Linked DNA regions of Nothobranchius furzeri. The main gene of each other region encodes a partner of the protein of the gene in region 2 in a complex. Links are inferred from orthologs where the notes say so. Each region holds a gene or a part of one and is shown on either strand. Other genes may lie near its edges.

Evidence for each region. The genes of interacting proteins can lie anywhere in the genome.
Region 1: the proteins of tyrosine-protein kinase CSK (region 2) and pag1 are in contact, whole or in part, in an NMR structure (PDB 2RSY), measured with the Rattus norvegicus proteins. The link is inferred for Nothobranchius furzeri from reciprocal best matches to the Homo sapiens genes CSK and PAG1. Residues at the interface, in NP_001025210.1 of Rattus norvegicus: Thr88, Arg89, Glu93, Arg107, Ser109, Thr110, Asn111, Tyr112, Thr117, Cys122, Glu123, Lys125, Val126, Glu127, His128, Tyr129, Arg130, Ile140, Asp141, Tyr156, Asp161, Gly162; in NP_071589.1 of Rattus norvegicus: Phe291, Ser292, Leu294, Tyr296, Lys297, Ser298, Arg299, Glu300, Glu301, Leu305, Ile310, Met313, Tyr314, Ser315, Ser316, Val317, Asn318, Lys319.

The regions. Positions count from the first base shown.
Region 1 is NC_091759.1:682,734-688,477, forward strand, and holds part of pag1 (phosphoprotein associated with glycosphingolipid-enriched microdomains 1), read right to left. Parts: intron 3,722-5,744; 5' UTR 3,686-3,721; intron 3,598-3,685; 5' UTR 3,567-3,597; intron 2,562-3,566; 5' UTR 2,518-2,561; coding exon 2,354-2,517; intron 755-2,353; coding exon 697-754; intron 1-696. UniProt on the Homo sapiens protein: Negatively regulates TCR (T-cell antigen receptor)-mediated signaling in T-cells and FCER1 (high affinity immunoglobulin epsilon receptor)-mediated signaling in mast cells.
Region 2 is NC_091744.1:58,976,887-58,982,630, forward strand, and holds part of tyrosine-protein kinase CSK, read right to left. Parts: intron 5,265-5,744; 5' UTR 5,161-5,264; coding exon 5,146-5,160; intron 5,044-5,145; coding exon 4,930-5,043; intron 2,693-4,929; coding exon 2,580-2,692; intron 1-2,579. UniProt on the Homo sapiens protein: Non-receptor tyrosine-protein kinase that plays an important role in the regulation of cell growth, differentiation, migration and immune response.

The DNA.
Region 1 (5,744 bases), on a different chromosome or scaffold from region 2:
TTATTTCCTTTTAACATCTTACTGTTTGATTTAAAGGTGAAAAAACAACATTTTCTGACAATATTTCCTCTTGATTAATCTAAAACAACTAATATGATGGAGTGGACTTGGAAAATATGTCCTCATTACAACCTAAAGTCCTCATAAACATAACTAGATGGTTTAACACCATCCTGATTTCAAACTGCATTAAAATGTCACTTTTATTTTACGCAAAGCCAGAAATAAGTGTTTTTAAAAATGACTGATGAGTGGGGGACAGTTCCTGGATGGATCTGCTCTCGCTCGGAGACAAAGACCCCCATTTACCCTGTCAGACGGTGACATGGTCTGTCATACAAATGGGCACCTCCTGCAACAACTCGGCGAGGCAGCAAATTACGCAGAAGCACAAGGTTACAGTAAAGATATCAATCAAATAAGAAAAACCTCACAGAGTTGGAAAGATAAGAGACTACACAACTCTCCGTCTGGTCACTGGAGCGTCAATATTATGGCGGTGGGTAATGGCTGCCTTTGCCCTGACATTGTGTTCAGAAGGACGCCGTGTTCGTTTATGGCTCGTCGTTATGAGCAGAGAGGGCCGAGGTCAACTCCATAAACACAGATTATTCTTTTCTTTAGACTCGCCTGACTGGATACCAGCCACGACGATCAGATCATATTAAACACACGTTTCTGTGACCCACGACTCACTCCGTTCACGAGGTTCAGCTGGTCTCCACCCGGGTGTCCATTTGCTGCTTTCTTCTCCCTAAAAGAGAGAATTAAGATCAATGAGAAATGGGTGATCACACAGAAATTAATCTGTGTAGTTTCTAACGTGGACACGGCTTTGTCCTTCAGGAGGTGATTTAATCCGATACCATCCAGAGTAACTCGCTACTCACACTTTTGGTTTCAGGGTGTATTTCACACTAAAAGAGTCTTTTTTAGGGGTTAATTGTGCATTATTAATGATTAGTTAATTAGAAAACAATATGGGGACAAATTTTCTTGAACGATTAAAATGCGATTAATCTAGATTAATTATAACAAAGCCTCTGATTAATTATATTCATTTTTTAATTAAGTTCCACCCTTAGTATTTCTTTTATTAATTTCATAATAAAAACAAACAAAAAATTCACATTTACAGTGACAGATGAAAGATTTGGAGAGTGGTATTCAAGCTGCATAAATTTCATAATATTTTGTTATTTTTTATATAATTTAATGCTTGGGTGTCTGGAAAAATATACACAAACATATTTCTCTTTTAAGGGAGTCAAAAGGGTTTAAATTAAAGGTACCTGCTGTATGTTAAAAGTAAACTTTTAATCAGGTTAAGCACAAAAACGCTCAATGATTACCTGAGAATGTTAAAAACGGTTTGAAAGCATGTAGGACATGTATTGTTATAAATCCTTTAGATGCAATACAAAAAACAACATATTGGTTTAGTTTAAGGAGTAAATAGAAAAACTGCTAAAGAATCTAACTTATGTTTAAAAATGTTATGTACAAACGTGCATGAGCAGCAAGACAAACAAAAATGGAAAAAAGACTTTTCGTTGTTTCGTATTTGGAAATGGTTGCATTAACATGTTACTGCAGTTTTTGTAATCTTGATTTTAATTCTTTCTTCATATTATGTATTATTTGATATAATTAATGTCATTTGTTTATACTTTATACAATTAATCTTTAAAAAAATCTGAAATATTTAAATATTTAATCTTCTATTTGATGTAAATAATACATTTAAGTTATACATAAAATTGTATTTGAAATTTTATAACAACGTATTTTGATTTCATATTTAATTAATCTTTTATTTATATATTTTTTATATTATATATATTTTTGGTAACTTAAGTGAAGTAAATCTAATCTGTTCTTTGGAATATTGTAATTTTATTTTATATTCATTTAGATTTTAGAACCTTTGATTTAAATTTGGTGTGGTTTTTAAATTTTGTTTAACTTTATCCATGAACTTGTAATTTTTAACATTGAATTTACATGATTTTAAACATATTTCTTTGTGTAAATGTCTTATTCTGTTAGTCACAAAACAGCATTTAAACGTTTTTTTATATTTCATAAAAGTTTTCATATTTAATAAATATTTTTCATTTAATAATGATTATTATTTTGCATTTTAATACTTTAGATAATCTTTGATATTAATATTTTATTTGTAAATATTTTCATGTTAAAGTAGCCCTCATCTTTTTATTTTCATGGGAAACATTGTTTGTAGTTATCGGAACAATAATGTGCAGCTATTTAATACACAAATCTGTGCTTGTGTGTGTGTGTGTGTGTGTGTGTGTGTGTGTGTGTGTGTGTGTGTGTGTGTGAAGCTCACCCCTTGCAGCTGGCACACAGCAGCAGCAGCATGGATGCCAGCAGCAAACCGGTGAGAACGCCGAGGGAGACAACAGACACCAGCTGCTCACTCCCCAGCCACAACACGCCGCCATTAGTGTCCGCCGTCCCCGACCACCAATCTCCACTCAACACCGGAGCCATGACACATCACACAGTGTGGGGAGAGGACATCGGACAGGTAGCAGCTGAGGACAAAACACAAACCTTCAGTGATTTTCAGATCCTTTTTCCAAAGGAACTCTGGGTAACATCACTGAGACAAGACTTTCTCGTTTTAAATTCAACACCAAAATTGTTCTGATGGTTTCCTTTGAAATGATGGAAGTCATGCAAACCACTAAATAAGTAAAGGAAAGTGTGTTTATGATGTTATGATGATGTCATAAAAGTCAAACATGTCAGACAGGCTCTAAATCCTGGTCCACAGCAGACAATCTGATGAGAAATAGCAGAAAAAGCACAGGTGCGTTAAAGGAGGCCGCATTCCATTTAGGGTGGTGTTCTGCTTTTGCACAAACAAAACTCACATCTGTAGAAATGGAACACAGCCATGTTACTTCTACTCTTTCAATGTAAAAGCTGACTTCATATGCTGTTTAAAAAAAGGTATATTAATATATCATATATATACCAATGTTTTATAGCTTTCTTAAATGACCTAAACTCTACCTAACCACCCAGATAGTCTCTTAACTCAGGATAAAATCCCTTTCTTTCAACTTTTTGAGGCCAAACAGCTTTTCAAACCCACTGGAGCTGAGTGCCTTTACCAGACGTGGCCAGCAGGTGGCAGGGCATAGCAGAGAAAGAGACCGGCTGCAGTGCAGACAAGTCTGCTGCAGTGGCCCTCACATCAGAGCCTTGTTTCAGAGCCACAGCATCAGAAACCTCCTCACGTCTGCCTCAGACAGCTGAAGTTGGGCTCCACTGTACCCCTGATGTTATCTCGGCTGATTTATGGGAAACGGAGAGGGGGACGTGGGTGAGACACAGCGAGGGAGGTGAGACTGTAACCGCAGGTCTACAGAAATATCAAACAAATAAACGTTTTGAAAAACTCTCCAAACACCACCGAAGGGAGTGGGGGCCGGGGGAGGAGGGGTGGGGGTGGGGGGAGATGTGCTGAAGTGTGTCGGATCACACTGAGCTGCAGAATCCAAATGAAACCTCAAAGGTTGCAGACGAATTACTTGTTTGGGTTGGAGCGTCGGCGTGTTTTCCCTGATGGGAAACAAACAAAGGAAAAACACTCGGGAGCTTGTGCTGCTTTCACCGTGAGCAAGTTGGTGAGAGGGGAACGCGGCCTTACCTTTACACCTGGGACGGTTGGTCAGGTCGGCCTTGCCTGGAAAAGAGCAGAAAAAAAGATAGAATTAGAAAGGGTGCACACACACGGGGGGTGGGGGGGGGTGGGGGGGGGGGTTACACAAATCTACTTTATTGATCAGTTAGCTCATGTAACTGAGAGGATATAATAACCAAGTGACATCACTGCAGCTGTATCATATAACTCGTTTGAACTACTCTAAATCCAACGATTATGAAAGAAAATCCAAATCACAAATATTTTTTTTACTTTATCACACTGCATTGCTTCCTCCTTTTCAGCTGAAAACACACTGGAAATGCAGCAGTGCTGCTTTTCAAAATAAGAGTGTCAAAGGACGACCCAAAAGCACGGAGCAAAGTGCATTCTGCAATATGCCCCAGACTTTATACTATAATCTGTGTTCCTTTTTACCAACGTTTTCCTTCCCTGTATGGTTGGATATTTATAATTTAAACATTTTTATTTATTGTCTGATTACGTAAAACCTAAAATTTCAAGACTTTACATTTAAGGATGCTGCAGTTACCATATGAAACCAACAGATGGCAGAGTTGAACTGTTTAGAATATTGAGTATTACTTTAAAGTTAAAGTTAAAGTCCCATTAGTTGTCACACACACAGGTGTGTGTGCAAAATTTATTCTCCGCATTTGACCCATCCCCTGGGGGAGCGGTGAGCTGCAGACAAGCCGCGCTCGGGAACCATTTGGTGGTTTAACCCCCCAATCCAACCCCTTAATGCTGAGTGTCAAGCAGGGAGGCACTGGGTCCCATTTTTTCAAAGTCTTTGGTATGACCCGACCAGGAATCGAACCCCTGATCTCCCAGTCTCAGGGCGGACACTCTACCACTAGGTCACTGAGAAAGGTGGCCTAATGGCCACACTAGAATCAATATGGTCACCTTTAACATGCCAATAGTCAGGCTTGTCTGGGCTAGGAACTAAAGAAATATTTGGAGGATGTGTTGTCACCAATTAAATAAACTAATAACAGGAGAGTTTCTATGGAAGCCAGGAGGTTCAAACTGGAAAGAAGCTGCTCTGGTGCGTGGAGATCCTTTTGCATATAACGTAGGCACATTTTGGTGTCCATCCTATGTCGCCAGTGCTTTGCCCTTGTTCTTCCATCTTTATTTGTGCTGACTTTTTAACCCCACCAGAAATGACTAAGAAGGGGCGGAGACAGAAACACATCAGGGTTTCCCCCAGAAAATGAGTTAAACCTTCGGCCGTCTTGGGGGGGGGGCACACGTTCCGCTGCTGTTTCTCACCAGTATCAGCTTATGGAGGGCTCTAGTTTCGTTGCGCCGTTCGTGTCAGAGGACACGGTAGGGTCGGGAGGGGGGCGGGACATGACGCCTAGCCTGGCGGGTGACCAAGTAAAGCCTGGCGGGCCGCCAGGCTTATAAAGCGCTGGGGGAAACCCTGAACATAAAAGCATTCTTTCAAAGAGGTTAATGACAAAAATTACAAAATAAAAGTTGAACAACAAATCTAATGAATTGCAGAGCCCAAATCAATTCCATGTGAGTACGGTTACTCAGCGGTAACAGCCCCAAAAAATCACATGGGAGATTCAACCAAAAACAGTTTAACACCATCTTTGATTTCAATCATTTCAGAATAAACCTGTTTGTAGAATGTTCATCTAATACGTAAACAGGCTGGATTTCCTTGGAGGGAAAAAAGAGAAATCCAAATGTTAGATTCAAAGTTCCCTCTTTTTAAACCTGTCTACTGATCCTTTTGCACAAAAATCTTCAATTTACACCGATCTAATTAAAGATCACCAGACCCAGTATTTAAAATGACTCGGCAGAAATCAGAACTAAATGGCGTCCAAATTCTTGCCTGATATTCAATGACAAGTGGATGAATCACTCGTTCGACCTCGTCTGGTGAAGCTTGTGTCAAGGTGTCACTATCTTCTGCTGTGTACCAGCTTGTGTGTGTGTGTGTATCTGCTGGCACTTAAACCAGAATAATTACCAGCTGCCATAGCGCCGTGTCACCATGGCAACATTTTCTTTCTACCCA
Region 2 (5,744 bases):
CAGAGACACTCTTGGTCAGCTTGCTTCTCACACCAAACTTTCTGTCAGGAATCTTGGTGTGACCTTTGACCCAGCTCTCACCCTTGATTCTCATGTCAGTTCTCTTGTTCGCTCTTCCTTCTTCCATCTCAGGAACATTGCTAAGCTGAGTCCCATTCTGTCTCGCTCTGAACTTGAGACAGTTCTCCACACCTTCATCTCCTCACGCTTAGACTACTGTAACTCTCTTTTCACGTGTCTGAGCAGAACCTCCCTGAACCGTCTACAGGTGGTTCAGAATGCCTGTGCTCGGCTTCTGACCAAGTCCTCCAAACACACCCTCATCACCCCGCTTCTCCTCCAGCTTCACTGGCTGTTAAGCAACTTCAGGGTTCATTTTAAGATCCTGGTTCTGGTCTTTAAGGCCTTACATGGACAAGCACCATCATACATTGGTGATCTTCTTAGTCCCTACAACCCCAGCAGTAGGGTTGGGCATTGTTTGATTTTGAACGATTCCGATTCCAATTCCTCTTTTCGGTTCCGGTTCTTATCGATTCCCGCTTCCGATTCTTTCAAGACATGACATGCTTTACATGAGCCAGCTAACCACAGGTCCTACTTGTTGAAATAATCTTAACTTCAACATGAATTTTAATTCTATGAACGATAACATCACCTTCATTTAGACAGAAACATGTTTTGGAGAAAAAAGAAAAAGACTTGCAGCACAACCAGTGTGTTTGTTTCTGACCACAACCAAAGTCTGGAAGAAGCCTCTGGGATGAGGCTAAATGTCTCCAACATATCCAGAAACGTCCAGCTGTTTTCAGCTACAACTCTCAGGATGATCATGTCCAGGATGACTGAGAACTACACCTCCATGCTGCAGCAGCGTTCAGTCAGAACAGGAAGTGAAGCTTAAATGTAGCTGCTGACAGTAACAATCTAACAGATTTTAAACATTAAAACTCAACAGAAATTGTTCAGAAAGGAAATTAAAATGTTCACAACTTTGTGTGTGATTTATTATTATTATTATTATTATTATTATTATTATTATTATTGTTTATTGTGGCAGAAGCTGGTGTGGTCCACCACAGAGAAGCTGCTCCAGCATGATGACTTTAATTATTCTACAGGTTATTGTTCAGCCTTCTGACGCTCACGTGTTTTTATTTCTGCAGTGAGACGATCACCTCACACCGTCCAGAGTTTGTTCTTTAAAGCTTCTATTAAATCCACCGTGTTGACGTATTTTAACAAGTTTCCTCTATGCTGCAGGAGTTAAAAGTTTACATTACAGAGTAGAAGTTTGGCAGACGTGTTTGTTTATATCCGGATGAGGGAGGGAGGGGGGACTCGTGCTGCTCACAGACAGCTGGTGTGATCAGCTCTGAAAAGCATTGATCACAATTTGCAGATCACGTTTATTTTTCACGGAGATCGGCAGCGGATTTCTCTTCCGTCTGCACATTAGGAATCGGAATAAAAATGTTGTGCAATTCTGGGAAAAATGAACAGTTGGAACAGGTTACAATCAATGCTCGATTCTCGATGCCCAACCCTACCCAACAGGTCCCTGAGGTCCAGTGATCAAAGCCTACTGGTTGTGCAGCACCAGGCTAAAGACCAAAGGTGACAGATCATCTGCTGCTGTGGCCCCCAGACTCTGGAACTCTCTCCCCCTGAGCCTGAGATCAGTGGACTCAGTGGTCTCCTTTAAAAAGCAGCCGAAGACTCACTTGTTCAGGCTGGTTTTGGTGTGACCTTCATCATCCTCTCCTTGTTCTGCTCTCCCTACCTATTCCACCTTCCTCAGGATCCACTGATTTTCCTCTTTCCTATTTGCTCTCTCTCTTTCTTTACATTTTTTTATCACAATTGTCTATTTTCGCTTATTTTAAATATATTTTTAATCATTTTCTAAATAATTTTTTATATTTTACATTTTTTTGTTTTTGTGAAGCGCCTCGTGATTTCTATCTTGAGAGGCTATAGAAATTATATTTTCTACTTCTTCTTAAATGTTCAATTCTGCTGGTTTGCAGGGTTTTTATTGCTACTGAGACTTTAAACAGCAAAATTTGAGCTGTAAAATAATTGTCTTTGACCATTTTCTGCACTCCTAAAACACTTTAGTTGCCAACAAAGGGCTTCTGTATAACAGAAATAAGTCCTGTCCATGTTTTTTGCAACATAATTTTGTATTAACCTCTTCACACTAGATATGTGGTTTCATATTAATTTTCCTAACACTTAGCTTTGTGTGCACACGGCATCAGTATGGCTGCAGATTTATCTTCATGAAGTTATTTCTGATCAGTCATACTAAAAATGAAACCTATTATTCATGTGCAGACGCAAGCACGCAGAAACCCATCACGTGGGAAAACGAGGAGATTTTCAAGATTACTTTTGTCTGAAATAGAAAAGAAACAACAGGAAGCTGTGCAGAGTTCATGCAAAGCTGAGGCGGAGGCAGATTACAATTGCACTGCAATTACAACACTGCGGTCTCCATTCACACAACTGGAGCATCTCTGCCATGCCAAACAGGCTGTTTAAATGTAAGAAGTTTAAATCCTCTCCACACTTACGGCATTAGACTCAATTTCCCTCCAGATTTCACACCTTCTCTTTTCTGAACATAGTTGGCTGGAATAGTTCCCTCGCGGCCTGCAGAGTTTTTTGCTTGGTACCAGTTTGGATCCTGCAACACAAAGTGTCAACAATAACTAGAATAATTTTTTTAAATCATAATTTCAATAATTTTTCCACCACTTTGAATTGTTTCTGCGTAAACAATGAATAATCACCAGTTTTAAACAACCTCTGTTCAACGTAATGAAGTTAATGGACTGATGAGCTAACGGCTAGTGATCTTTAGATACAAACACACTTCTAAATAGCTGCAACGTTCTTTAATAAGGAAGTTGTACTTTAAATTTGAAAGGGAATTAAAAACATTGGTAAAGCTGGGGTAAGTATTTTAAAATTTTTAATTTTTAAATTAGACCAACTGACCCTGTTCTATGACGGAGAGTGGTTCATCTTTTATAATAAACATTCCCCTTAAGTCCCTCCTCTGGTCTTTACAACAAAACTATTAATTTACGTAAGCCTAGAGCGTTGACCAGTAGATTTGTGTCTCCATATGAGGGAGCTGTCAATCAGCGAGAAAGCACCCCAGTCCCCAGAGTACATTAGAGTGATGCAGGAAGATGATGGAGCTCTGGAATGGAGCAACTTAAACAAGGATCCAAGTCACCAATTCCTAGGCCGCCTTCTCCGTTTCAAAGAAAATGTCAACAGACTTTCTCTGAGATTTTTACAAAAGTGGAGTAGAATTAACATTGGAGAAGTTTTCAAAAGATGGAGGGAGCTTGGTGATTTACAAGGACTCAAAACAGATAAAGAGTTGCCAAAAGCCTCTTTTGGAAAACAATGCTGCCAAGCTGGTATGAGGAAGGTGTTCAAGCTCCAGCTCTAAATCATCTCCAGGTGGTTCAGAACGCTGCAGCCAGGTTCCTGACAAACACTTGCAGGCATTCCCACATCACTCCTGTTCTGGAACATCTGCATTGGTTACCTGTAAACTTACGAGTCATGTTCAAGCTCCCGACATTTTTTAAGATTTTGAAAGGCTCTGCCCCAGGATATCTCTCCGCCTTGATCAATCCCTATGTGCCAAATCGGGCTCTGAGGTCAGCTGACTTTCTGTTGCTCAATGTACCATCGATGAGATATAAATCGCAGGGTGAGCGAGCTTTCATGTTTGCTGCCCCCACTTTATGGAATGCCCTCCCACTCTCAATCGGGCAGGCTCCCTCCCTCTCTTGTTTTAAATCAGTTTGAAAGACTTATTTTTATGAAATGGCTTTCTTCCATTGCTGACGTTTTCTTGTTTTATTCTTGTTGTTGCTGTGTTTAACTCATGCTGTTTTTATCCTTGTACTTGTATAGCACTTTGGTCAGCTGACATGCTGTGTTTTTAAATGTGCTTTATAAATAAATGGTATGGTATAAGCTTTAGTTGCCGCCAAGGCGCGTTCATAAGACACACCGTGGCGGCGGTATTACGCCGATTTGCTGACACGGTGTGTCTTCTAAAAAGGGCTAAAGTTTCTACTGGACATGTAGATCCTAAGTAGTTTAGAGAATTGTAATCAAAATTTTATTTGGATAAAATAATACTGAAGATAATTGTTGTATGCTGTGTTAGGCTAATATGGTGCTATCTTGAATGCTAACTCGACCCGCATTGAATTAATGTCAGTCTGTACGCTTCAAGCTAATAGTGAAAGAGGAGGGAAGGGAATAAAAAAGTATTTTTTTTCTGTGTATAGTGGAGCCAAGTGATTAGTGTAGCATTCAACCTTGTGCTTCATCAGACTAGTGTATAGCTCTTTCTGTCAACACATTCTCACACCCAAGGCGTCAAAATATGACGCGTGACCAAGCCTCAATATATGACAATTCGGGACGCCCCGGCGCGTCAGGAGACGACGATCAGGGACACGCTGGGTCACGTGGCTCCACTGGCGTCACTGTTTGACACGCGCGGTCACACAGACATTATTTGACTATTTAACCTTCCCCTCACCCCAATCCTAACCTTAAGGTCCATAAACTGTGACCTTAAGGTTAGGATTGGGGTGAGGGGAAGGTTAAGTAGTTCACAAGTAGTTCCAATGTCCGTCTCACCACCGGCGTTGGTTACCGACGCTCTGGGACGCTGCGTCAGCTGTTTGTCCCTGATCGTCGTCTTCTGACGCGCTGGGGCGTCCCGAATCGTCATATATTGAGGCTTGATCACACGCGTCATATTTTGACGCCTTGGGTGTGAGAATGTGCATGCGCGTAGTAGGAGGCATCTCTCCTTGAAAACATCACACCACGGAAAACAGCTTTGAGCTCATCCAATGCATGCTCAAATAAAACAATTACTTTTGTGACAACGATGATTGTCAAAATGTCTCCTTTGTTAAACGGCAGGTCCTGCTCCGATGTGCCGAGGAAGTTGTACCTGGCCACACACTCTGTGCCCTGCGGCCATGGACTCTAAAACGACATGGGTGAATCACCTTTTAGAAAAATACAAAAAAAAAAAAAAAGCTGTAAATATTCATTTTTGTCCCCCACCACTCCAGAAGTTGATCTTACCTGGACCTCAGTCATAATGAGGTGCTTGAAGCCTCTCACTGGTGAGATATTCCTGCTGCTACCATCAGAGCTAGTGAAACACACACGCACACACACGCGCACACACACACACACAGAACCTAAAGAAGGAAACGGAATATGAGTAAAAGCTTTCAAGCCACAAGCAAATCATCAAGAAGACATTTCATTTATTAGTTTTGTGATCATTTAAAACAATCAGATCAGTTTCTATCAGAATGTATGGTGGTGACATGTCAGACAGTGACAGTAAAAATAAAATACTCAAATAGAAAGCAGAACAAGTGGGACTGTTTTTGTAATCACTCTTCCACAAATAGTGCCCAAGTTTCCATGATGCAAGGCAACACTTTGTTATGATTATAGAGCAACTTTCATTGTAAAAAAAACAAATTAGAGATGCTAACTCCCTCTTTTTAATTAGAAGTTCACACAATTACTTAACATTACAGGTTTCTTCTGTGTAGTTTGAGCCTATGCTATCTGCCACGCTGGAATGCAATCTTGTGGTGAGATCTGACCAAACTTGAGGGACTCGTACAGCAAACACTCTGACGCTCCAACAGATCACTCACTGAATC